Linked DNA regions of Sus scrofa. The protein of the gene in region 2 purifies or fractionates together with the protein of the main gene of each other region. This does not show direct contact. Links are inferred from orthologs where the notes say so. Each region holds a gene or a part of one and is shown on either strand. Other genes may lie near its edges.

Evidence for each region.
Region 1: the proteins of GNA13 (region 2) and ARHGEF11 purify together in Homo sapiens (affinity purification with western blotting; 3 studies listed by BioGRID). This does not show direct contact. The link is inferred for Sus scrofa from reciprocal best matches to the Homo sapiens genes GNA13 and ARHGEF11.

Annotation. Positions count from the first base shown.
Region 1 is NC_010446.5:93,131,940-93,136,367, forward strand, and holds part of ARHGEF11 (rho guanine nucleotide exchange factor 11), read left to right. Parts: intron 1-821; coding exon 822-864; intron 865-2,023; coding exon 2,024-2,120; intron 2,121-2,344; coding exon 2,345-2,467; intron 2,468-4,428. UniProt on the Homo sapiens protein: May play a role in the regulation of RhoA GTPase by guanine nucleotide-binding alpha-12 (GNA12) and alpha-13 (GNA13). Acts as guanine nucleotide exchange factor (GEF) for RhoA GTPase and may act as GTPase-activating protein (GAP) for GNA12 and GNA13.
Region 2 is NC_010454.4:11,963,509-11,968,702, forward strand, and holds the start of GNA13 (guanine nucleotide-binding protein subunit alpha-13), read right to left. Parts: upstream 3,406-5,194; 5' UTR 3,082-3,405; coding exon 2,799-3,081; intron 33-2,798; coding exon 1-32. UniProt on the Homo sapiens protein: Guanine nucleotide-binding proteins (G proteins) are involved as modulators or transducers in various transmembrane signaling systems.

The DNA.
Region 1 (4,428 bases), on a different chromosome or scaffold from region 2:
CCAAGAGGCACACCCAGATTTCTGAGGCTCAGCCTGTCTTGCTGTGACTGCCCAGAGGGAGGGGACCCCCGAGTACCAGGGCGGATGCGCACGCCACCCCTGGACGTGGTTCCCAAGGATGTGTCGGGGATCCCGCTGCAGCGGCACCTGGGCCTGCAGAGGGCAGTTCCCATCTTAGGCTTTCTAATCTGATCAACTAAACTCATTCCCAAATGACTTGACTCGTCTGGCAGTAAGCTACTAGGACTAATGAGATTGAGAAATAAACTGTTTTTACCTCCAGATTTTAATTTTAGCCCCCTTAGTGGGTCTTGAGTAAGGAGATTAGAGCTGCCAGTTGTTCCTTGGTGGTGGTTATGGAACCACCCCAGGATCCAGCTGTCAGGTTCTCGTAAAGCCAAAGCCAGGCCGTGCGCACTCACTGGAAGATGCAGTAGCAGAAGGCCCGTGTTCCCTGGGGGGTGAAGGAGAAGGGGAGCCCATCGACTCACCTCGTAAGACTCCTCCCCTGCTGCTAAATTGTCCCCCCCTCCACTTTTTGGAACCTTTCCATTCAGTACAGCCTGAGATCCTTGAAATAAGAGCAGGAAAACTGCAGGTACCACCCTCAGAATATACAGTCCCAGCTTGCCTCGTAGCCTCCGATGCCAGTTCTCAGAATCCCTAGCTAGAGTTCAGTGGAGATGGGTGAGCGGAGGTGGGGTCGTGTAGGGAAAGGGGGAGGAGAGGTAGTGCCCAGAGCCCTCCTTGCCCCCGCACGATTCCCACCATGCCCTGGGGTGTGTGGACCTCACCACTCTGCCCCCTCTTCTGTTTTTCAGCCTCTGAGAGTGAAGGTCCCGGAGATGTTACAGGCTGAGATTGGTAAGTTGGCTCCTTGGTCATCTAGTCTCTTCTTCAGAGGTGGCTTCAGGGATGGAAGGGACATAGTCTCTACCTTGGGCAGCTGTTCTCTAATAGGGGATATGGGGACCTTTCCTCCAGAGCTCCTCAAAGTAGCTCATGGACAAGCACAACCACTGGGAGCTACTCTGCCTGATCAAGCCTGTCACGGCAGGGCACGAGTTGGTCAGGAGACCAGGGTCACTTCTGCCAACCTTGCACCTGACCTCTGTGGGCCTGGGTTGGGTCATCTGTACAAAGAGGAAATTGGATTCCTAAGCCTGGTCATCATCAGGATCCCTTGGGGGCTTCTGTCTTAGAATTACCAAAACCAGGGCCTCCCCCACCCCACCCCACCCGCAGAGTCAGACTCTCTGGAGTGTTTCTGCTCTTGTGTTTTTGGTGGTGTGTGTTCCTAAACCTGTGCTGGGTGGGGAGCCAGTGAGCTAGGTGATTGCTCTGTTCCCTTCTCGTTGTCAAATCATGAGTGGAAGAGCCAAGGAAGGGTGCCAACCTGAGAGGCTAATCACAGGAGCTTTCTAGAGGGTCTTGGTTCAAAGCTGCCTTCAAAAAGAGGTCCTTTAAAGGCCTGGATGATAGGAAAGCTAATGGGCACAGACAGAGGGTAAAGAGAACTTGCTCCAAAGCAGAGCAGAGGGTGGCCAGCCACTCCCGGAGACGTAGCCTCAGCTGAGTGAAGCCAGGTGCAAGGACAGGAGAGACACCTTCCAGTTTCTGGTGGGAAGTTGGGTTTCCTGTGCAGTGCTTGCCTTTTGCAGCCTTGTGAGCTGACCCTGGGGCGGTGGAATGAGGATGAGCCTTGCAGAGGTGTGCATTTAATGTCAGAGGGCAGTGTCTGGACACAGGCAGAGAGGGGATTTAATAGTTCTCCACTCAATGGAGTGTGGAACATCCCGGAAACGATTTTGTCCTTGCCTTGGGACTTGGATGTCAGAATTCCAGTCCTGAATTCAGGAATGACCTGGTAGGTCCAGGCCTCCACTTCCCTTGGCTGACAGGAGGGCAGAAAGCCAGCCTCTGCCCCCGGTGCCACAGGCAGCTAAGAGGCTTTGAGATGCTCAGCAGATGTGACCTCCTTCTCCCGACATCCCTCCCCTTCCTGTCTGGGCTCCCACCACAGACCTGCGCCTGCGGAGCGGCGAGGATGTGCGCGCTGTTCTCTGCGAGGCTCAGGAGGCCGCCATGCCCGACATCCAGGAGCAGATCCAGGACTACAGGTGCCCGGTGCCCCCCGCCCCGCTCTCCCCTCTGCCTCCTCACCCTTGTTCTTGACCTGCGGGGTATGTGTCTCGTGTGTGTGTGTGTGTGTGTGTGTGTGTGTGTGTGTGTGTGTGTGTGTTTGTGTGTGGTGTGTGTGTTGGTGTGTGTGTATGGTGTGTGTGTCTGTGCACCTCTCTGTCAGACGTTGGTATACGTTTGTTTCTTTCGCTCTCTGGCTCAGAACAAAGCGCACGCTGGGGCTGGGCAGCCTGTATGGTGAAAACGACCTGCTGGACCTGGATGGGGACCCTCTCCGCGAGCGCCAGGTGGCGGAGAAGCAGCTGGCTGCCCTAGGAGACATTTTGTGAGTCTCCGGTTCCACTCCCACCCCTGAACATGCCCAACAGTTTGACACAGTTTGTGGGTCTATTTCCTAGTCCCTCCCCCTCTGCCACTTCTTGCCTGATCCTTCTTCCCCCGAAAGCTGGGGAGAATCCTGCCCTCCTGCTCCATTTCTCAGGCCGGGTCTGTGGGAGTTTCAAGGGAATTGTGGAGCCTGGAGCTTCTGAGGGCAGTTTGGTGGTTATAACAAACCTCGGGCCTCAGCATCGCAGTGAGCTTTCTGGCCCCTTCCTGCCGCTAAGATCGCATCTGACACTGAGTACAAGAGCCATGCAGTGATTCTCCAGGGGGTAAAGTTCCTTCAGGAGGCAGGCAGAACTGGCTTACAGGAATCAGACCGTTTTTAACTAATCATATCGGAAGACTAACCAAACTAAACTTACGAAGGAACTCCTGGCACAGCTGCTGTGAATGCCTCTTTCCAGCCCTATTTTCTAAAGTGTTTCAGGTGCCTGGGTTGACTTTGTGGGGACACTTCCAGGCTTAGAGGTAGATTTTCACCCCAGTACTGCTTCTCCACTCAGTAATTGTGTAACCTTGATCAAGCCATTGCATCCCCCTCGGTCTCATCTATAAAATGACAGATCTTGGGCTAGACAATCTCTGTAGCCTCTACTAATGCTGATACTTCAAGCCAGCAAGTTTTTATGGAGTCTCCGATGGTGCTAAGCACTGTTCTAGGCTCCTGGGATGCATTAGTAGAGAAACAATGTTTGTGGAGCTTGTGCTATTGTGGGAAGAAAAAGCAGTGTGTATTATGCAGGTAAATTGCAGAGTACATTAGAAAATGAGGGTTGGGGATCAGGGAACAGAGCAGGCCAAGGGGGCCCAGGAGCATCTGAGCCAGGGGATTGCACCTTCAAATAGCGCCTCATCCAGACGTTTACATGTAGGGGGCATGGGCATCCTCGGAAAGGGGGCATGGGCATCCTCGGAAACATCTTGGAGGAAGAGCATCCCAGGCAGAGGGAACAGCCAGGGCAGAGGAGCGACATGCTTGACATGTTTGAGTGCAGAAGTCAGAGGGGCGACAGGAGAGGCGGCCTCCCAGAAGCTGTGGACAGTTGTAAGTTTCTTTCCTCCCAGTGAATGAGGAACCGTTGGAGCCGGGAGCAACTTGAGAGTGGTGGGAGAGCAAAGGAGGGTTCCAGGCAGGGAGGTCAGTTACAGGAAGTCCCCCGGTAGGGCTGGCATGGGAGCATTGCCCCTGGGGCTGTGAAAGGAGTTCCAGGTATGTTTTGACAGGAGGGCCAACGGGAGGATTTCCTAACAATTGATGTATAGGATGTGAGAGAAAGAAAAACCAAGGAAAAGGAAAAAAACTCCACGTTTTTTACCTAAATGACTAAAAGGACGAAGCTGCCATCCGTTGAGTTAGGTACAGCTGTGTGAGAAGCGATCCTGTGGTAGAAAATCAGGGCCTCGGTTTCAGACGTGTCAAAATCTCAGATCTCTTTTAGACATCAAAGTGGAGAACCGAGTAGGCAGCTGCCAATAGGAATCTGGCATTTGATGAGAGGTCCCACGGAGAGGACATATTTCGTCTTTGAAAACAACCCTCCAACCTTCAGCTGAGCCCTGAATCTTTCTGGGCCTTAGTTTCCCTAGCGATCAGATGGCGCTGATCACCCCGATGACACCAGGGATGGAAGCAAAAAAGCTGCCAGAGCCTGTTCTGAGATTGTAGGCACCACAGAATTACATGGGATTGTTATTGACAGCATAGGCACCCTGCTTCTAATGGCTTGTATTTAAAAGAATGCAGCCTCCGTTTCATTAAATGGAGATGTAATGGATTATTTGGGTATAAATAGTATACATGTAAATAGCCCTTGGCCCATAGCGAGCACACAGATATTAATTGCTGTTCCCACTTACCTCTTTTAAATAGGTTCCCCTGAATCAGGTCCCAAGGTATTATCT
Region 2 (5,194 bases):
CTTCTCTCGAGCATCCACCAGCACCCTCATACCTTCATTTGGAGGAGAAAAAAAAAAAAAAAAAAAAGGTATGAGGAAAGTCATTAGATATTCTCAAGAGATTTGACTCCAGTATTATTTCCTTAAACTTCTTGAGAACTCCAGGCCCAGTGCCTCCAAAAATGAAGACTAACAGTCAAAAGTAGAGTAATTTCTCAGTGTAAAAAAACTGTTATTCACAGTCATAAAATCAGAGCTTTGAAAAGCACATGCAATTACCACAAGTACTTCCTGAAGGATTTTAACATGTTCTCATTTATAAAGTAAGTTCTGCGTAGAATGTTGTCACCAGAGAACCAAAACTAGTGAAGGAAAAAGAAACGATAAAGTTGTACGTACAGCCTGCACGTCCAGGCTCTGAAGAAGGATCTGCAAGGTTTTCTGAGTCCCTCAAAGAGATATTTATTTATGAAATGTCAACAACAAACAATGTCGCCCTGTGGCCTATTTGGTCCCCGAGCACCGGCTGAGCCCAACGCTGAGTCTTCCAGGAAACATTCAAAACTCAAAAACTCCCAATACCAAGCTTTAAATCAGTGTGAGGCACACGATGGCCTTAGTTAGACTTCCCTAAAAGGAGGAAGACCAATTGCAAAAACAGTATAAAAACAGAGATTTCAAACTCATGGTGATTAATTCAAACCCATTATTTCTATCATTAAGCTGTTACTTTTAGTCCCTCTCAATAATCACATGGCTCTTAGGTCACTTGTTTGGATAACTGAAAAACTGTTTGGCTGTCAATTTTCTGATCATGCCAACTCAAAAAAGTAGATGGCTAGTGACTTCATCTCATAATCAAGGCTCAAAGTAGGTCACACTTAGAAGTCAGAGCACATTGAGAACCAGGTGTTAAAAGAGGGCCAGGTACAGTTCCTGTCGTGGCTCATCAGAAACGAACCCGACTAGTATCCATGAGGACGCAGGTTGGATCCCTGGCCCTGCTCAGTGGGTTAAGGATCCAGTGTTACCGTGAGCTGTGGTGTAGGTCGCAGATGTGGCTCAGATCTGGCATAGCTGTAGCTGTGGCTGGGGCAGAGGCCAACTGCTATAGCTCAGATTGGACCCCTGGCCTGGGAACTTCCATATGCCATGGGTGCAGCCCTAAAATGACAAAACAAACAAACAAAAAAACCAAAACATGAAAAACAAAACAGGGCCAGATGTTTATTTAGCTGGCTTATAATCAGTTAACATGTTAACTATTCACTGACAGAACTCCTTAAGTTTGGGCATCGGTATACAAAGGTACCTTCAATTAGAGCCTGGTTAGGCAGAGTCTTCGGCTTTGAAAGACACCTCAATTAATGTTGCACTACTAAACGTTAAGAAGGGATAAATACAACCGGTTTTTTTTAATAACTTAACTGCAGAGGTACTAGGGCTGGCTGTGGTCTATGAGTTCCTGGCGCAGTGCTCTCCCCCGTTATTAGCTTCACAAAGCTTCCCCTTCCCCCCCCCCCAAGCAGTTTTCCTCTACTCAATCCTGGGAGAAAAAAAAGTGACACCAGAGAGTAACTTAAGCACTTCCTGAACAACAAAAAAATCCCACTCAAAAAAATGCTGCTTGGAAAAGCTTGAAATCTATAGCGAACTCCTAGATAATTGCTACCCAGATGCAACAGAGAGAATCCTGACACACCTGAAGTACCAGACTCCGTACCGCAACTTTGGCAAATGCCTTTTATAAAGTAGAAAATATGATACAAAGAAAATGAAGTGCTAATTAACACTCAAACGACAAAAATAAAATCCCTCTTCTCTTAGCTCTTTGAAAGACCAGAAATAAAGTTCTTGTGCGTTTTTCACTTATTAACAAGGCTTAATCTAACTTAAAAAATACTGACAAACAGAAGCAGAGCCGACACTGATTCACTGACTCAACTTGTACAGGCTCTGCATCACTTCTAGGCCAAAGATTCTTTATTATCAACACACAGTTTAATTTAAGTAGTAGAAGCAAGTGGTGGTACCCCTTCCCTCCGGCCCCCAGTTACTAAGCAAAAGGAGAGTGGAACGTGTTGCATAGTGATTACAGGCAAACATCCTGCCCCACCGTGACACCCGGGCGAAAAACCACCGCTGCGAACTTTTTTAGACTAACTAAATGGGGCTACTCTTTCCTGACGCCAGTACAATAAACAGGACACCCTCAAGTTTCATATCCTTGCCCCAAAGGGTCCAAGAGCAGTCACCGTTCGCCCTTGACCAGAGTCTCGGGCAAAAGTTTCCTCATTGCGATGGTTCCAGAACACTGGAAGGGCCAAGGAAGCAGGGAAGTGGGAGCAGCCCCGATCCCATGTGACTCGGGCACCCACCCACCCGGGAAGGCGAGGCTGGGCAGGCAGCGCTGGGGCGTGGGGTCAGGGTGTAGGGTCTGGGGCTGGCTCTCGGGTCTGCTGCCTCGTCCGGAGGAGGGAAGACAGGAGGGGGCACCCCGCACTCCCGGCACCCGGCTCCCTTCACTTCCCTTCTCGCAGGGGGCGAGGCCAGCGACGGAGTGGGGGGTGGGGGGCCAGCCGGGATCCCTGCCCCGCAGCAAGAGGGAAAAGGGGCACCCCCAGGCATCCCCTCCGCTGGGGGCAAGGGCACCCCGGGCAGGCAGGGTCGGTGCCCGGGGCGCGCCCCCTTCCCGCGCGCCCGCCCGCCGGGCCCGTTTCTACTCCGGGGACTGAGCGAACGAGGGCGGTGCCCGGTCCCGCGCCGGCCCGCGGCCGCCCCCGGCCCCCGGCCCCCCGGCTCCGACCCCGGCCCGGCACCTTTGATCACGTTGCTGTAGATGGTGGGACGGAACTCCTCGCGCGCGCGCTGGTCGAAGTCCTGTCCGTGGATGATCCGCATCTGCTTCAGGAAGGTGGACTTGCCGCTCTCGCCCGCACCCAGCAGCAGGATCTTCACGAGCCGCTTCACGTAGGTCTTCTCCCGCGACAGGCATTTGTCGATCTCTTTGGACTTGCGCTGCTGCTCGGCCTCGCCGCTCGTCAGCACGCAGCCGGGGAAGCACACGGACAGCACGGACCGCGACGGCAGGAAGTCCGCCATCTTGCCGCCGCCGCCGCCGCCGCCGCCTCGGCGGGCCCCTCCGGCTCCCTCCACCTCCTCCTCGGGCGGCGGGCGGCTCCGGCACCGCGGCTCGAGGGCGGGGAGCGCAGTGGCGACCCGAGCGCGCCGGGGGAGGGAGGGAACCAGCGAACTGACTCGCAGGGCGGGCCAGGCGAGCCGGGGAGGGAGGGAGGGAGGGAAGGAGGGCGGGCCTGGGAGGGGCGGTGGCCCGGGGGACGTGCGCGTGCCCGCTGCCTCCGGGGGCGCGCGCGCACGCCGCGGCGGCTCCTCCGACCCGTGCGCTGGGCCGGAGAATCACGTTCTACTGTGAATTCGCGGCCGCCGTCAGGCGCGCGCGGGGAGGGGTTGAAGGGGTGGGGCCTTGTGTTCATGTGATCTCGGGCTGGGCGCCTTGCAGAGCCAGCCTTTCTGTTTCCCTTTAATTAGCTGCACCCACTTACGCGCCCAAGGGCTGCTTCCGGGAGCCCTGGAGGCTGGGGCCCGGAGAGAAGAACTCAGATGCAGCACTTTGGGTTCCCCAACCGCTCCCGCCGCGGTTACGTGCGGGTCGCCGGCTGTCATCGTTCGCTCTCCTAGTTTCGAGGCCATTGGCTTGAATGTTATTCAAAGAGCGAGCGCGAGTTGGGCAAGTTTTTGGTGCGTTTTCCTAGAGTATCTTCCTTGACATCCTGCTCTCACAAACTCAAAACGTTAACCAAACATCTTCACATCCTCCCCAACACCGGCCCGCAGCTCTCTTCGGTATTCTCTGAGCCCTACAAAGATCATCTCTTGGAGGAGAAAGACTTCGTGTTGATGTTAATCTGAGATGGGCGAGGAGGGGTTGTTGATGTCTCATTGATGCGGATTCCAACCCAAGCTGCTGAAATCAAGATGTAGCTGCAGTAGGGTGAGGTCATGGTGAAAATCCCCCTTAACCGGACACTGTGATGCAGACTCTTCCCTAACAAGGAAGCAGATAAGCAAACAGACCGAGGAGAAGAGCCGGCAAATTTTAGGTTTCCTGCCAGATTACAGAGGATATGACCAGCCAAGGGACTTTTTTCCTATCCTAATAGCAGATTCAGGCCAGGACACCTGAAGGGCTGCCAGGAGACAAGCGACCAGTGACAGCTGGGTTGGCCCCCAAAAGCCAACTTCTTCATTCTTGGTATTCTAGTTTTAAGTGCAAAAAGGCTTTTGGGGTGGTCTCCGTTTATGGCAGTACAACCCTAATGTTCCTTGATGAGAACTTCTGTGGCTCAGAAACGTCTATGCGTCAGAAACTGAAGAAAGAGGTCAGCACTCCCAAGAGGCTCAGGAACAGGTTTAAATTTTAAAAATCAGTGCTAATCAGTTCACTGTCTGGGTTGGGTTAATGTCCGAGGAGCCTCATGACTCAGTAAACTGGCTGCAGTAAACAGTGCCTGTAGTGGGATTATCTCCTCTTGTCCTGGCCAAGCCCACAGGGTGGACAAGCTACAATATACAAAGTAGTGTAGGTTCAACTCTTAATATCTAAGGATTGTTAGGGCCAGAATCACTAGGTGGTGCCTTCAGGTAAAATATAGGGTAAACGTCTCTCCTGGTTGCAAGATCTCTCTGTGGCCTCAGCTAGTGTTTGGGAGGCTCTGTTCTCCACCCATGAAAGGATGAACCAGGGCAGGGGTCTAGCACCGGCCTCCAAGCACCCTTTCTATATGGACTCCAGATGCTAATCTGAATTCTACGAAAACAGGAAGAGGGAAGCCTATCAGTTAAGTAGTTAACATATTTTTTTTTCTTTTTCCAAAAGTGTGTGCAACGTAATGGAGAACCAAGGATGCCTAGGAGGCAGGAAGGTATTCCTGCCCAGCCAGTTCATGTTGTGACATGCAAAACAGCAGAGAAAGCTATTCAAAGCCCTGCCTATAACCTTGTGTTGGAACAAGCTTAGCTCAGAACTGGCCCAGCTGCTCTAATCGATGTTTCTGAAAAATGAGATCTCTTCGGGCCTCGCCTGAGTTTTGGCTGCAGTAGTCCAACTGTTTCGAACTGTCTGGTAATCCAGCTCCCTTGAAAATGTGAGCATATAAATGAGCCAGAGGTCTGGCGGTTCCTCAGAAAGTTAAAC